Linked DNA regions of Daphnia pulex. The protein of the gene in region 2 purifies or fractionates together with the protein of the main gene of each other region. This does not show direct contact. Links are inferred from orthologs where the notes say so. Each region holds a gene or a part of one and is shown on either strand. Other genes may lie near its edges. The genes, in order: U3 small nucleolar ribonucleoprotein protein IMP3-like and something about silencing protein 10-like.

Region 1 (3,363 bases), on a different chromosome or scaffold from region 2:
GAGAATTATTTTACCTTGAAACCTTCAAATTTTTCTAAGGCGACAACATAAAGACGCGGTTTGCATTTTGCATTCCTGTTTTCGGCAGCAATTGCTTTGGCGTCACAAGTAGCAGCTGAATTTTACAGTAAAACACATTTTATATCACTCCATTATAAAATTGGGAGAATAATAAAATACACAAACTCTTATTTGCTTTTGGATCAAGAGTTCTCATTTTACGGTCCCAATGGTCTTGGAAAACCTTGACAATTTAGTGAAACGTATTACAATTTCATATAAACGTAATAAATGCATGAGCATTACCTCGTTAAAGAATTCAGTTTGGTAATTCCGCAATGTACTTTTCGATTGCCTGTTGAATTTTTTGGATCTAAAAGGTAATCCTGAATAAACTAGATGAATGAATATTAAGCAAACAAAAATGAAGGACATATTGGCAGCCATGTTTCCTTGACACTTGTGATTCAATCAAAAGTGAATGGAAAACTGTATAAATTTTCCGGTTAAGGGTTAGTAATAACCTACCGTGTCGATGAATGTTTGAGCCTTTAAGATTAACCGTGGTTTTCCCCCCCTTTGAAGCACTACGGAAACCCCATTAACCTCAGAGGAGAAGTTTGAACTAGAATGTATACTTATCTAACTCAATGAATTAATTTTATTCTAAAAATGACAGGAAATGAGCGATATTTAGTAGATAGAAAACGGGATGTATTTCCATACAAGTTGCATTTCGTCAAACAAGTCAAGCCATATTGAAATCATCTCTCTGAAATAGAAGGAATGAAATTGATTAATTTCTTTAAAAAATTGCAATAATGATCATTATTACCATCTCGTTGTATTCCATAATATGTTTCTTAATAGCTGAGGAGTCTACCCAGGTCACAAAATCCTCCATATTTCTAATTCATAAAAAAAGTAACTGAGTCATTTATATGCAATCAATAATTGAAAAGTTTTAATAAGTACCTGGTAACAAGAAATGCTGGGTCTTTTACCACTTCAGGACCAACTCTGACATGTCCTTGTTCCACAAATGTAGTTGCAGTTTTGATGGAATCTGCCATCTTTGCCCTAACCATGACCACAGGAAGTCTTCTTCGACAGAAGCAGGATGCTGTTATTTTGGAAACAAGATCAAGGGACCACTTGGTTGGAATTAAACCCATGGAATATCTAAATTTAAGATAACAGTCAAGTAACCTTCAGAAATTATATGAAAACAAAATTGTACAGTTTTTCCAAAAGAGCAGCGCTGCACTCCACTCTGAAAGGGTCTTTGGGGTCGAGCTCCTTTATCTTGTTTGCCAACTTTTTTACATGCATTACAAGTGTGCAGTACCTGCAATTAAGATACATCGTCAAAATGATTTCTTAAGAAATCTGTCATTTAAAATCCACTTACTTTGTGTAATCATCTCTTTTTTGAATTCTGTATCTTTTAAGAATTTGCACTTCATGAACATTGTTGTCAAGCTTCCAGGAGATGAAATCTACTTTTTTCAACAATTTCTGTTCATGATACTTTAGTTTTCGGACCATTCTGTTTTGTTAGTTTTTCAGACGTTGCACAGAAATCCTATGAGTTAATTCTTATAATAAAAAATCGATGAGTTTATTTCTATGACGTTGTACTCTACCTGGAACAGAGATGTGTTGCTGATTTCGAAATTAATTATTGAAGAATAAAGCTGCTAAACCTTGCAATCCCCTCGCGAAACGCACGAAAAGTTTGATACAAACTACAAACAGCAGACAAAAAAAGACAACTTGCAGACGACGGAAATCTCACACGTGTGTGGCTGCTGAATTCTCTTTAATAGTTAAACAAAGTACTAGGTGGCAGCATGCTACAATCTAATATTCGAGCCCTTCGTTCTTATTTTTAAATATTTATTATTTCAAAGTGCATCGCCAACAGCTAGCTTGTATTAAAACTAAAAATATGCGTCATATGCTTCCACGTAAATTCCTGTTTTTTCCAACATAAAAAACATTGTTAAAACATGCGACGTTTCCATTTAGGACTGATTCTGAGTTTTGACTCGAGTTTCTTGATAAAAGATGTCTTCACCAAGGACTTTGTTTAATGTATTCAACATGTGGGTAACTGTGTAATATTTAAAAAAAAATCAAGGACGGATGGTCATGATTGAAAGATTGTCGACAAGAGAAAAACTGATTTCTATTTCGTTTATTTTTGGCACTGTGAAGCTTAGTCGGTTGATAGCAGACGAGCACGTCTAAAAAAGAAATGATAAATAAAAGACGTGATGGATTGAAACCGAAAGAGAAATCAGTTAAACAGGAGGGATTAGCATTGGTAAATATAAAGGTAAAAACAATAACGTGGACAAAGTTCTTGTTTGTTCTCCCCACAACGTAAGCTCAACTGGTGGCAGCTTGACTACGGAGAATGGCGGAAGCGTTCTTGTGCAATAACATTTGCTTCAAGGCGAATGCTTCGTCTCTCAAAGTGGCCACTTGAGCTCTCAAGACCGAATTCTCCTTCTGTCAAATTACAAAATAAAAAACACTCAAATTGAAGTATGAATAACCAGTGAAATTGTTTACTAGATATTAAATCCTACCTCAAGGAAATTGGCGCGAACTGTAACTTGATCCTCACGGTTTTTCCGCATGTCTCGAGATCTCTTAGCCTTCAGAAAAAGATAATTTTAAAATTCTGTAATTTGGAAATTTTTATAGATCACTTACTGCAAGATTATTCCGACGTCGGCGTTCAAAATATTTGCCATCCTTCAAATCATCGGGAATAGGTTTCTTCTCACTCCTCGGCCTTCTCGTGGTGGCCGAGGCCAAGGCTTTGGCAACCAGGTGAGAAGGATCAGCAGGTGAGGCCGGACTTGTTGCATCTGATTGATTAAGATGGTCAGACTTGTTTTGTTGCGCCATCAGATCCCGCTGGAAGGAGAAAGCAGCCGCCATAGCATGCATTAGCTGTGATGAGTCAGGATGATGTTGATACGATGGCGGAATCGGCGAATCTTCACGTTGGTGATGACTGCGACTAGACAAATCAGCGGGCGATTCATCGTCGGCCGACGATGACGAGCTGGTAACTTCACTTCTTTCGTCGTTTAACGACATGCTTAAGTTCACGGGAACGTTGGCACCAACACCTTGACTATTAAAAATGGCCTGTTGGAGTAACGCATTCAAGATCGAGTTCTTAGTCTCCATCATCAAATGAGCACTTCTAACCGAGTCGATAACACTCGAGTAACTGACGACGATGATTTCGATACTGTAGTAAGATCAAGAGGACGACCATGAAATGTATCGACGAGTCGATGACATGACCTTCTTCCAACGAACTGGCCAACTGGGCTTAAG
Region 2 (4,142 bases):
AAGTACTTTTACTAGTTTACTGTTATCATTAAATACCTTTACGTCTGTGATGCAACTTAATTTGCAGAATCTTCCAAAAAACCATGATTTTGTTCAATGCCAATATTGGCACCTGCACTATGTTAGAAGGAGTGAATTGAATGATCACCTAGAATCTTGTGAGCACAAGTTAGCTAAAGAGGCTAATAAGAAAACGTGGGAGGGTAAGTCTAAGTCCATATATTATGTTTCATTCAGTAATTTGGTTTATTAATTTGTATTACCACCTGTTTAGGGGACAAACAAACAAAGTTTTTTCAACCAAAACTGAAGTATAATGAAATCCTACCATCTACTGAGTTATCAGAGAGCTGGGATGATGCAACATTGACTGCTCCTAGCTTCTCGTCTGAAATAATGAGTGCTAAGGCCAACTACATGACGTAATTGTATTAATATTGCTGCCCATAGATTTTTATGTACAACTATTCCTCTTTAGTGTTCCTCAAGGGTTATCCAAAGCCAAGCGTAAGGAATACCGCGAAAACGAACGAGAACGCTTGCGGGAGAGGGAGTATACTTACATAAATCAAATCATGTTGAACTATTTTATTATTTGCTAAATATTTAATTTCTACTTTAGAGAAAAGGAAAGAGTATTTGTGGCTAAAGGAGAGAAAATCCAGCAAGTACAAAAGGAAACGATTATTCCAGTACCACCTCGAAAACCAACTGGTAAATTTTTATCTTCTCGTTTACACTAAAATTAGATTTTCTTATTCAATTTGTTTACACAATTTGTAGAGAATCCAGTAAGACGCCTAAGTCGAATTGCAGCAAACTTTCAGGTGCCAAAAGAGCATGTTGAAGAATCAAAAGGACTTCCTTCGCCTGCTAGATCTTCACGTAACGGTAGTGCTGGAAGTACTCCTGCAATCGGAAGAGGCAGAGGACTTTTGGGTGAGTTAATATGTCATTATCATAAGTATCAAAGAACGTTATCTTAATATTATTTCCAAGGTTGGAGCCATATTTCTGAACCAGACCGAACATTTCGCTTCTCCCCGGAAGAATTTCCTAATTTATAATTAGTAGTACCTACTCCATAATACGGTCACCTACTCCAAGTTTGAAATATCCTGTTTCACTTTTCAAGTTCATTTGTTATGAAAACACAGACCTTTTTTGAGTTAATAAATTTCATTTTGGGTTCAGGTATATCCTTTTCAACAAAACAAGACTTAGTTTTAAGAAAAGAAATTCTTGGAATTCCAAAAATGCTTTTCCTTTAAAAAACCATGAGAAAAAAAATCAAAAAATACCGTCAAAAAATAATTTCTAGTTGCAATGGAAATTTGGCAGCAATGCATTCAAAGATATTGCAGACGAACACCTGTCAGACGAGCTGTTCAGTATTCAGTTAGATTTAGAACCACGTGTGGGATAGTTGGAACCTACAAAGTTGAATAACAATTAAGTTAAGATGGGCAAGCCTAAAGGTACATCCAGTCGTAAAACGAAAGTGGATGCTGTATCGGACGACGAAGAATATCAGGATGCCGTCGACCCAAATGCATCGGAATTCATATATGATGCTGTTGACGAATACTACGAAAACGAGGAACGCGAAGGTGCAGAGAAATTGGCCAAGTTGATGAAAAGGCCCAAAAGATACATACAGGTATTAACATGTGTGAAATTACTCTGTTAATATCTAGTTTTTTATTGGTTGTAAATTTTCCTATATTTCAGGAAGATGTATTGGGAGTAGCTTCATCATCTGACGAAGAAGAAACATTGAAGATGTCAAAAAAGAAAAAGCTGAAGAAGGCCCGTTTAGATGCAGAACCATTACCTCCCCTTGATAATGAACTGGAAGATGAGAAGGAAGGAGATGATGAAGAAGAAAATCTGGAATGGGGAAAAAAAAGATCAGCATACTACAATGCTGACTACGTTGATGAAGAATGGGATGGTATATTTCGATTAAAAAATGCATCTTCTGTTATCTGCTACAGTAATAACCATTAAAATATTCTAGATGCAAATGAGTCGGATGCTGAGGTAGCAGAACTAGAAGAACAAGAAGCACTTGCAATTCAGCAAAGAATGGCCCAACAGTTGGAAGAAGCAGATTTTGGTTTAGATTTCATCACTCACTTAAAAGTGACAAATTAATGAAACTAAAGTTGGAGCATCTTATTTAATCTTCTTTGTATTACAGGAAGCTGACAAAATCAAAGGACAAACATCTGTACAGGAAGAGAAAATTGACGTTAATCTTTCTCATTTATCCAAACGAGAAAAACTTAAACTATTGACGGAAGAGTCTCCAGAACTGATTGAACTCGTTGAAGATTTCAAGTGTAACTTCTAATCGCTGAATTAAATTATCGATGTTTAGTATTAAAAACACCTATCTTATCTTTCAGGTCAAATGGCAGAGCTTAAAAACAATCTAGAACCCATTTTAAAATTAGTGACGGAAGGAGTGCTACCTGCAAGTCCAGGAGTGGATTACGTCACATCGAAATACCAGCTCATCCTCAAGTATTTTACGTACAACTCCTCTTCTTGAAATTTTATTACATTTTTCGTCTGTTTATATTTTTCAGCTACTGCACACAGATTGGCTATTATTTTGTGCTGAAGTCTAAAAGAATATCCGTGCAGAATCACCCTGTCGTTAAACGTCTGGTTCAGTTCCGAAGTTTGCTACATCAGCTTGAAAATGCAGGTGCAAGTCTACAGCCGGAGATCGACAGTTTGTTAACGAAAATTAAAGAGGATGAAAAGATGACTCGTGAAGACTTTGTACGCACCGTCATTCCTCCAAGAAAGAAACTGCGCATTTTATCAAGTCGTCCTCAGTCGGCTGTAGTCGAGACAAGCAAGCCAGAGGAAAAGAATGCTGTCACGAAAAAGAAAATCAACGTACCCTTGACTCGAGACGAAGAGCAAGCATTAGATTTCTACAAAGCGGTCAGTAAATCAAAGAAAGATTCTGAAGATGAAAGTGAAGATGGTGACGAAGATCCAAACCTTGATTTGACTGCTGGAGCTGATTCAGCCATAAATGCTTCAGAGCAAGGAGAAGAGGACATTGGCAAACGTGGCATCAACTATCAAATTGCTAAAAACAAGGGCTTGACACCGCATCGGTCGAAAGAACAGCGCAATCCTCGTGTCAAACACCGTATGAAGTTCCGAAAGGCAAATATCCGCAGGAAGGGCGCGATTCGCGAGCCTCGCAAAGAACTCAAGAAATACGGCGGTGAGATCTCTGGCATTAAGGCGACCGTCATTCGAAGTGTTAAACTTAAGTAAACCTTTCAATATGTCTTTACAAATATACTGTTTAAGTGTAAGTAGCTTGAATGATTTATTTTTTTCATTTCCTTCCAAGTAATTGGGTAAGAATGAATACGTTCTTCGAGGTAACAAACGGTTGAAATTTTCTAACATTTCATTTTCCATTTCAGTTGCCCTTGCGCAGTTTTTTTTTATCAAGTTGTCTGATAGTAATCTTTCGGTAGTAGTAATCTTTCATATGAATGTTAACACTTTGCTGTTTACATTTTGCTTATGACAAATCTTTTAAACCTGATAGGCTGATATCTTAAAAACCTCGTTTTTTTTTATAAATTAGTCAGCAATGAATGCTTTTATCTGAATCATAAAAGCAGCAAAATGTTTATCATTCTTGTCACATTTTAAATGTGAAATAAAGGCAGACATTTTCTGACTATATTCCTCTGCTATTTAGAATTTCTCAGGAATAACTAAACAAACTAAAAACGAAGGTGTTGTTCCACGAAGTCATAATTTAGCTCCGCAAGATATCAAAAGTAAAAATGAATGTAATAAACGATCGACTTTAGGTTAGTAGGTAAACAAACACATGTTAAGGTTTCAGTTAGGGGAATTCAGGGCTTCATGTTCGGGGTAACAAACTGACTTAATTGTCCGATGGATTGAAAATATGTTTATACGCTACGCTTGTCATGTTAATCACCGTTTAAACCGGAAGCCCGTCAGGATGTGCGGTTACTTGCGCTGCATCTCTTAAATTTCGATTTAAAAAAAATTGCTGAATCCTATGAATATAGTTGGAGACTACGGCAAGTGGTTTAAATTTATCAATGAGAACCAGCATAACAGCA

Evidence for each region.
Region 1: the proteins of something about silencing protein 10-like (region 2) and U3 small nucleolar ribonucleoprotein protein IMP3-like purify together in Homo sapiens (affinity purification with mass spectrometry; 3 studies listed by BioGRID and IntAct, with this or other methods). This does not show direct contact. The link is inferred for Daphnia pulex from reciprocal best matches to the Homo sapiens genes UTP3 and IMP3.

Annotation. Positions count from the first base shown.
Region 1 is NC_060021.1:8,086,334-8,089,696, reverse strand, and holds U3 small nucleolar ribonucleoprotein protein IMP3-like, read right to left. Parts: upstream 1,808-3,363; 5' UTR 1,647-1,807; intron 1,586-1,646; 5' UTR 1,549-1,585; coding exon 1,412-1,548; intron 1,349-1,411; coding exon 1,241-1,348; intron 1,183-1,240; coding exon 976-1,182; intron 909-975; coding exon 836-908; intron 773-835; coding exon 749-772; 3' UTR 693-748; downstream 1-692. Other genes in the region: uncharacterized protein LOC124194159, read right to left, coding at 15-115, 181-244, 307-447; transcription factor VBP-like, read right to left, coding at 2,395-2,517, 2,598-2,666, 2,725-3,213. UniProt on the Homo sapiens protein: Component of the 60-80S U3 small nucleolar ribonucleoprotein (U3 snoRNP). Required for the early cleavages during pre-18S ribosomal RNA processing. Part of the small subunit (SSU) processome, first precursor of the small eukaryotic ribosomal subunit.
Region 2 is NC_060024.1:11,303,509-11,307,650, forward strand, and holds something about silencing protein 10-like, read left to right. Parts: upstream 1-1,368; 5' UTR 1,369-1,462; coding exon 1,463-1,660; intron 1,661-1,731; coding exon 1,732-1,954; intron 1,955-2,020; coding exon 2,021-2,145; intron 2,146-2,203; coding exon 2,204-2,345; intron 2,346-2,411; coding exon 2,412-2,529; intron 2,530-2,594; coding exon 2,595-3,306; 3' UTR 3,307-3,347; downstream 3,348-4,142. Other genes in the region: protein D7-like, read left to right, coding at 68-203, 275-422, 479-553, 623-714, 784-939, 1,000-1,067. UniProt on the Homo sapiens protein: Essential for gene silencing: has a role in the structure of silenced chromatin. Plays a role in the developing brain. Part of the small subunit (SSU) processome, first precursor of the small eukaryotic ribosomal subunit.